2 linked regions of the Kluyveromyces lactis genome follow. The protein of the gene in region 1 binds, or shares a complex with, the protein of each later gene. Links are inferred from orthologs where the notes say so. Each region holds a gene or a part of one and is shown on either strand. Other genes may lie near its edges.

What was found. Proteins that work in one complex are often made in the same cells at the same time.
Region 2: SPC19 (region 1) and DAD4 share a complex: the UniProt entries of both Saccharomyces cerevisiae proteins name them as parts of the DASH complex. The link is inferred for Kluyveromyces lactis from reciprocal best matches to the Saccharomyces cerevisiae genes SPC19 and DAD4.

The regions. Positions count from the first base shown.
Region 1 is NC_006040.1:1,584,386-1,588,697, reverse strand, and holds SPC19 (Spc19p), read right to left. Parts: upstream 2,306-4,312; coding exon 1,844-2,305; downstream 1-1,843. Other genes in the region: ubiquinone biosynthesis protein COQ4, read right to left, coding at 1-364; RAV2 (Rav2p), read left to right, coding at 742-1,809; KLLA0_D18799g (uncharacterized protein), read left to right, coding at 2,651-4,054; lipoyl(octanoyl) transferase LIP2, read right to left, coding at 4,126-4,312. UniProt on the Saccharomyces cerevisiae protein: Component of the DASH complex that connects microtubules with kinetochores and couples microtubule depolymerisation to chromosome movement; it is involved in retrieving kinetochores to the spindle poles before their re-orientation on the spindle in early mitosis and allows microtubule depolymerization to pull chromosomes apart and resist detachment during anaphase.
Region 2 is NC_006039.1:1,465,115-1,469,105, reverse strand, and holds DAD4 (Dad4p), read left to right. Parts: upstream 1-2,678; coding exon 2,679-2,897; downstream 2,898-3,991. Other genes in the region: oxysterol-binding protein related protein OSH3, read right to left, coding at 1-2,123; snoRNP complex protein NOP10, read right to left, coding at 3,119-3,292. UniProt on the Saccharomyces cerevisiae protein: Component of the DASH complex that connects microtubules with kinetochores and couples microtubule depolymerisation to chromosome movement; it is involved in retrieving kinetochores to the spindle poles before their re-orientation on the spindle in early mitosis and allows microtubule depolymerization to pull chromosomes apart and resist detachment during anaphase.

The sequences.
Region 1 (4,312 bases):
CTAATTGAACGATGTTCTCACCGTTCTCCGGGTGGAAATAAGATTTTAAACCACTGATACCGAAGAGCATCATTCGCTCATACCACCAAAGTGGAACATGACCCTCATAATTAGGTTCTATCGGTCTTGTGTTTCGTAATGCATTTAACCTTTCTTGAGTCCTTTGTTCCATCTTATGCTCATACTCTCCATTTTTATTATGCAGATTCCCTTTCTCCATAGCATCTGCTAGTCTAACATCTTTCCCAATCAATAGGTCTCCAAAAGCTGCTATTGCAGTAAATACGATTGTTCTCTTGCTATTATTCAATGGACTGAAAGCGTTACGACTTGCTTGTAAGGATTTCTTACTTACAGTAAACATTTGCGGTCGTCGTCTGATGCGTTTAATAGCACACTTTCCCTAATAATAAAAAGCTGTGTCCCGGAGTACAACTCGTCAATTGAGTCAAATCTAGAATCTGTGTAAACCTTGATCCTAATCCACGCCAGCAATTTCAATTACAACCACTTTACAATTTTCAATGATCTTCCTTTATCTCTAGTTAAAGTATATGTGGGTGAGTCGCATCAACTTCAAGAAAAGGTTTAAATTTGAAATATTCAGAAGAATCATCATACGAAAAAGGCAAAAGAATAGTAAAAAGGTTGACAAAGGAAAACGCCCATCTTAGCAAGGCTCTTGCTATCTACACGCTAAGGGAGCTTTGCTACATTAATTCTCAATTGCATAAATCCGAGATGACTACGGAATTATATAATGATGGGGCATATAAAAATGCTCCTACATATGAGGAGAGCTCTTTGTTACAACAGACATGGTTGATTAAAGAAATCATAAAGCCTGAGCTACCTAACGTTATGGACCATGTTGAGAAATGCATAAACCAACTATCTAGTCCTGAGAAATTTCGAATGCCTCTTACCAATGGGAATAGTGTCTCCGTTAACACATCAGGTGCCGCGCCAGACAGCACATCGATTAAAGGGACAATCACTAGACAGGCCGGATTTATAGTGGATTTTCAGGCTATCATTAAGCTTCCAGACTTTAGCAGGGGTAAACCAATAGTTCTAAAGATGGACCTTGATAAACAATTTCCCTTAGTTCAAATAAATGCCATAATTACAAATTTATCATCCGTATTGTCCTTATTTGACGAATTACAGCAACTTTCCGAATTACACGATATGAAACTTGATGATATTCATACTTTTCACAATAAAATTGGGAAAATATTGGAGTTACTTACACAATCTATTACATTATTACAAAATCCTCCACGAGAATTGGTCTTTCCGCATAATAACAACAGCTTCTTAAACGACAACTTCTCTGAATCTCATGACATTTGTGAATCAGCACATCATTTGGTCAATATGGAATTAGTGCTATTCAAAAACGAGATTTGCTTGGACATTAGGAATTTGACAAAAGTCATTAAAAAACCCTGGAGTGAGATCGATTCGAAAACTGGGTTATCATTCAGTGATAAAGTCAGAGACAGGCTGAAGCAAGACAGAAATGGAAAAATCGCAGAGATCCTTAAGGAAGAAGGCTTGCAAGTTGAACAAACATCTATGATAAACAATTTGATATCCAGTTTTTCAGCAACTGAAAGAATCACTCTTCCGCAAGCAAGCGATCTATTGGCTAGGTGTGTGACATTTAACGGGCGAGTTGTCACTGAATGCGAGAAAGTTTCAATTACCACCAGCGATCCTACATTGATTAGTGTCAGTGCAAAGTTGAACGGGCTTGAAAACAAAATCAGCAATCACTTTGTAAATATTCAAAATTTAAGTTAACAATGCGATAGATAGAGAGTCGGCGTATGCTTATTTATCTCTCTTCATGCAATTCCTGTATTCTTTGTATCAGTTCTTCTTTACGATTCTTTAAGTCTTTGAGACGTTCCAATTCTTCATGTGTCGAGGATACTATTACAACTGGATCCGATTTCACATTATCTATGATGGGGTTACTTTCTTGATTGTTGAATCGTAGTTTATTCAATTCGAATGTTTGTGATAGAGTGGCCCGCTCCCTTTCCAATTTGGTTAGAGCTTTTTCCAGTTTACTATATAGTTTTTGTAACAATGGTTCTATATCCTCCATCAAATCAAGTCTGGCCCTCTGCACATCATATTCTGATACCAACTGGAATACCCTCTTAGTTTGTAGCATATTTATAGCAAGTTTAGTGCTTCTATCTGTAGTGACCTTAGATACGGTTAAACATTTCGCCATGTCATCGACACATGCTGCTAAAGCATCTACACCCTCCGAAAGTACCTCTTCCATTGTGTCAAATCAGCTCAAATAACAATGCCAAATTATCACAGTGCGTTATCCAATTACAATCCTGCCGATCTATGTGAAGTGTTGTGTTTTCATGTGTATGTTGCGTAATGTTTGTTTACCTCTTTTCTATGTGGTGAATTAAAATAATTGTGATTGAAATTAAGTCCATTCTTTTCTCAGTTTCATGATTTTAGTATTATCTTCACAGAAGTGGTAAAGCAGCTTCAGCAGTATTTGCTACGAGGCAGTCTCTCCATTGAAGTGAATCAGAAGCCGAATAAGAACTTGCACTTTGCACTACCTTTTTTTGCATATGGTTTAATTGGGTTCTTATAAGCAGTGAATATGACTGAGAAACAAGGAAGTCGATTGGATCCTCTTTCAGCAAACCAGAGTAACGATAACACAAGCACATCAAAAACAAAAGGAAGAAGAGCTCGTTCCAACTCAAGCAGCAACGGTTCTTCGAATGACAACTGTTTGAATTCAAGTAATGACGCTCTTAATAAACTGACTTCCGCTGAAGATGAGAGAACACAGGCCAGAAACAAATACACACATGTTTTGGTTCTAAAATCGTTGAACAACACATTTGAGACTAAATTCTTAGTAGTTCCATTCAAGCCCAGTGGACTAAAATTGGGACGACCTGTCATTGGAGCTTCAAATTCTGGAAGTAACGGAGGACTTTCCGGCAAAGCTGATCCACAGGTGAAAGCTGATAATGGAAATTTTGATTCTAGAGTGCTTTCAAGAAACCATGCATCGTTATCGTGTGATGCTAAAACTGGTAAAATATGTATACGTGATCTGAAATCATCTAATGGTACTTTCGTGAATGGTAGTAGGATCGGTCAAACTGATGTTGAAATCAAAGTGGGGGATGTGATAGATTTAGGGACGGATATAGACACAAAGCTTGAACATCGTAAAATAAGTGCATTAGTGGAGGACATTTCAGTGATACCGTTGATTGGCGAAAACGATAAACTACTAGTATCAAATAAACGAGATTTCAGGAGTACACCTGCAAACAATGGGATTCCAGACCCAATGGTCACGATAACAACTGCTCAAAAAGCTGCGTTCGAAGCCGCCATGTTCGGAGATGTAAATAATCTTGACCTCGAAGATGCTGTATTGGGGTCTGAAACGGAAATATTGAGTGGAATATTTATAAACAATTCTATCGGAACAAGTCCGAATTTGATTAATATCATCAAGACCTTAGTGACAGATCTAACACTTGAAAAGTTGGAATATGAAAAGTTGAAATCGATTGACAATTTCATCGTTAATTATATTACAAAGCTTGAATATCTATCAAAGATGAAAATGGAGCAAGCGGACTCACAACTAGTCAAACTTCAGAAAAGCGTTAAACAGAAGCTTGCGAATCAACAGGCAGAACTAACCACCATCCATAATGAAGAAATACAGGCATTAAAACAAGAAAATAAGAAGCTTAATGACTCCCTAAAGGAAAATAATGACTTGAAAAATACTAAGATCAAACAGCTAAAAAGTGAAGTTGATGAATTACAGACACGTCTTGAGGTCGAAATATTTAAAAATACCCAATTACAACAAGCAAAGTCAAAACCGGTAAAGACGAAAGACGATGGTACTGCACAATTACCAGCTGTATCAACAGGTAGTAAATTACCCAGTACTACAACCAACTTGCTTTTATTAAGTTCTATCTCGGCAGGGGCTTTGGCTGCTGTGTTTAAATATGCAACAAAGTAAAACTAATCATAAATATCATTCTTAAAGTAAAAATTAATCTAAGCATTTCTTGCAGACTACGGGTGATGCGTCTAATCAGTGTAAATGGGTAAATCATCAAGTTGAATTCTCTCTACTGTGGTAATGCCCAAAAGTTTAGCTAATTGATTCACGAATGCAACTGCTACATCATTAACAGAGGTAGAACTATCAGGGACTTGTTCTCTTATGGAAGTGGCTTTTTTTTCTGACAGCCCGCACATGGTAAAACTGTTCATA
Region 2 (3,991 bases), on another chromosome or scaffold:
AATGGGGTGAATGGCTTCCGTAGTGATCTTGTCTTTTGTCTGTGAATGGACATGTATGACAGTGCAAATGCACTGATGTATTTCAACCTTTGAACTTCGTCGTCTTCCATTGTGGCAGCTTTGCTTAAAAGCCAACTGTATTCGAATGCCTCGGATAGCACTTGTAAGATAGATACGGGTTCGTTTAAACTGATCGGCATTGAAATGCTGGATAGATCCTTACCGACATTTTTCCGTAAGAATCCTAATAAACTTGGTGGGGTTGATACTGGTATTGCGATATCGTTTCTGCGCTTTATAGTTTTGTTGATTGGTAATGGTGATAGATCTTGAGATCTCGATGTTGCTGTTTCTATAGTCTTTCTATCTGTTGATGTCATTAATTCATTACTAGTTGGTGTTGTTGTTGTTGTTGTTGTCATTTCATCTTCTTCCTCCTCCTCTTCTTCTTCAGCTTCTTCTTCCTCCTCTCCTTCGCCTTCCTCCTCTTCATCCTCGTCATTATAAGAGCTGTATATTGGTCTGATATCGGTTTCAAAGGCCACATCGTCATTTAACATCGTGATGATAGGTTCTTCATTTGCATCGAAATATTCGTCATCTGAAAAGATGGAAGCAGTTGGCGATCTGGGAACCCATTTAGTAGCTAACATCTTACCATCAATATCAAGTTGCTTGGCAATTTTCTCCAAATCAGCTAGCTTTCTATATAAGTCATGATGTTGAGGCTCGTTGGGATTATTAGATAAGATCGAAGTATCATGGCCTGAGGTAGCTTGTTCTACAAATGAACCGTTCCGTTGCCTAGAAAAGGAGTTCATGAATGAAGAAACAGACGAGGACCGTGACACATTCCTCTGTTGCTTTGAAGATGTCGGAGGGCCCTGAATGGGAGATACTATTGCGTTAGGTGTGTAGTTAGAATAGGATAAAGATTGATACTTGCATTCTTCTATTCTTTTCCTTAGGGATGTTAAATTGCGGAAAAATGCTGTGGTATCATTATCAGGAGGAATGACAACGTTATGCGATTCGTGATCTTGCGAAGTAGTTGGGGCGTCTTGTTTGAAACATGACTCGATCATTGAAATCCAAAGTTCCCAATCTTTTTCGTCACGAGCTTTCATGACCCAGATCTCCATGCCTGAGTCAATGATAATAAGTTTAGTTTGCTTATTTGCACTTATTGATGAAAGTGGGACAACAATCTCACCACGACACACAGGAGATTTAGAGTTGAGATAATATGAGAGAATCCCAAATTTTATATCGAGTTTAAAGAACCGTTTGGTAAAACCTTGTAGCTTCTTTCTCTTCTTTTTTAGTAAATATCCTTGGAATCCTTTACTGTTTTTCAAATCGTGATCTGTCGCGGATGTAGAACTTGGACTCAGTGGTTTTATTGGCACTGGAGAATTAGTGTTTGGTCCGTTAGATGTACCCACGTTGGAAATTGTGCTTGGAGTAGTCTGGCCTGGAGATGGCGCAAATGGATTGGAATTCGATTTTGCTAATGAGGACAAAGATGGATCCTTGAATGACGTTTGGCTATAATTCAAAGGTCGCTTGCCATTCGTCCCATTGGCACCAAAGCTTTCCTCTTGGTTTGAAATGACGGATTCCTGATCGTCATCCAAACCTTCCATTGCCGATGCACTAGGGTTGATACTCACCGAAAATAAACATTTTTTCTTAGTCTGCTTCGAAGTAGTATTGTCTAAAATGAACGCGTAATAACAACTCTCACAAGTTGATTCGAACGATTCGGCAACGGTATCGTTGTTAGAAATGGTCCCATACCAGGTCACCTTTTCCAGACCGCTTTGTGCTAACCTTGTTTGCAACGGCACGTTTTTGTCCTTTTCGTGATCTGCCAAGGCAACGTTAGGCTTGGCATCGGTTGAAATTCGAATTAACGGATTAGTATTACTATTCGAAGAAGCTTTTACACTCCCATGGTTTGTTTCACTCAAATCAGTCGTGGATGATCCACCAAACCGTCTGTATATACCAAACCCTATCGATTTTTTCAAAGGTTTCAACCGAAACGAAACTATATCACCTTGAGAAACTTTCTGCCAACGCACAACAAATGATTTATTTTGAACGTCAATAGTATCCATGTTTGATGCCGAAAAAAATTTAATAGTTACAATTGAATCACTCTCGAAACTAAGTAGACGTTCCAATCTACCTTTATCGGTCGGTTATTCGCTGAAAAATCAATTCTGAATAAGAGAGATTAACCAGGGGAAAAGATCAACAAACACCTGATAGGCACGCAGTAAGAATGGTAATTATTCACAGGTGAAATTTAACTGACAATATCCGTTACCAGCAATTATCACCAAATTGATATATGATGCCCGCCAAAAGCTCGAAACGCACACTAGAAGTCTGTTATAGATGAAATTTGGATCCTTGTTTACTTCAAATTAAAGGTTTAGTTTATTATACTCAAGCTTTTTTTTAATTCATTTTCACTGAGAAGCTGCTTTGGGGCAGGTACTAATTTTCATCATTTAAAAAAAAAAAAAAAAAGGTTTATAATAGCATCCAACATGTATTCAAATGCAAAACATCGGTCAAAAATGTAAACCACAAGGAAAACACAGGCACTAGAGGCTACAAAACTGGTGTATAACTATCCGTCATCAGTTATATTTGTGATACATACCATGGAAAACCCGTATGAGAAAGTTCAAAGCAATATTCTGGCTAGAATCATTGGCAATGTCGAAAGGTTGAACCAGAGTGTAGTGATACTAAACCAAGAGCTTCGAAGGGTAAACACCAAGAATAAGAATTTGGAACTGATGTCACAAATGTGTGAGAACTATAGAGAATCTGTTGATTTCCAGTTGCAGGCAACTTCCAAGAAACAGGACCCATTGTAAGGTCTCACATATATTCTAACGAGAAGAATTTATTAAAAAAAAAAAGCAGTTACTTAAGTGATGTAGTATGTACGTATATACATACGCCTTTTTATAGTCGGTTTCAGGACCGTACTGATTCTAATTTACAGATAATAATGGATTAATTTTTTTTGTTCATGTTCAGTGAGTTTTAACCGGTGCAATTTTGTCTGCGGATTGTGTTCCAACTTGTAGGGACCTTAGTTTGGCAAAAGGTTGTATCTCTTCTTCAAAGTAACTCTTTGTCTGGAGTATTTGTCATCTGGAGAGAATCTAGCAGGGTGAGCAGACTTTGTAATTTCATTATCCTCAGTCATCTTCTTCAAAGTATAGATTCTCTTGCCTTGGGCATCCAAAGTGTACATCAAATGCATAGTGGGTAGTGGGTAGAGTGTGATAGATGCTTTTGGTTGGAAGTGAAAAGGAACTAGATATATGGATAACAAGACACTTTCTTTCAAGCGATGAGCTATACCGATCAGTTAGTTAATGCTATGTTGAAAAACTGATTATATCTCTTTGAAAATTTAGCAGATGCACTTGATGGAAAAGAAATATTCCAGTTCGTATCATGTGATCTGATGATATATTCTCTAACGTAAGTAGCGATATGTGTTTTGATTATCTTTTTCTAGTCACGTGTAAAACGAAGGAGGCTGGATCGGTTCCAATGATCGATTGATTGATAAACTTTTGTAATCGGGTGTTCACGTGACCTGTGTGTATTTTATTTGTATTTTATTTGTATTACCCGGCCACTCTCCTATAAAAAAGGGGTCTCATTTCCACACATAGTTAAGGACCCTGCTTACTATGAGTGTTTTTATGACAGGAACTGAAGCTGGAACTGGAACTGGAACTTTCAAAGGAAAAATGAAAAAAGACGAAAACGAAATTTGAAATTGAAATAGAAATAGGAATAGGAATAGGAATAGGAACAGGAACAGACATTGACTATTAAAGCTTTAATTTGATATAGACATAGGGCTTGTCACTGATAAGAATAATATATTTTGGTCCTGTGTTGAAAACAGCGGAAGGTTGTATATCGTGTTGAAAACGAAATTAACAGT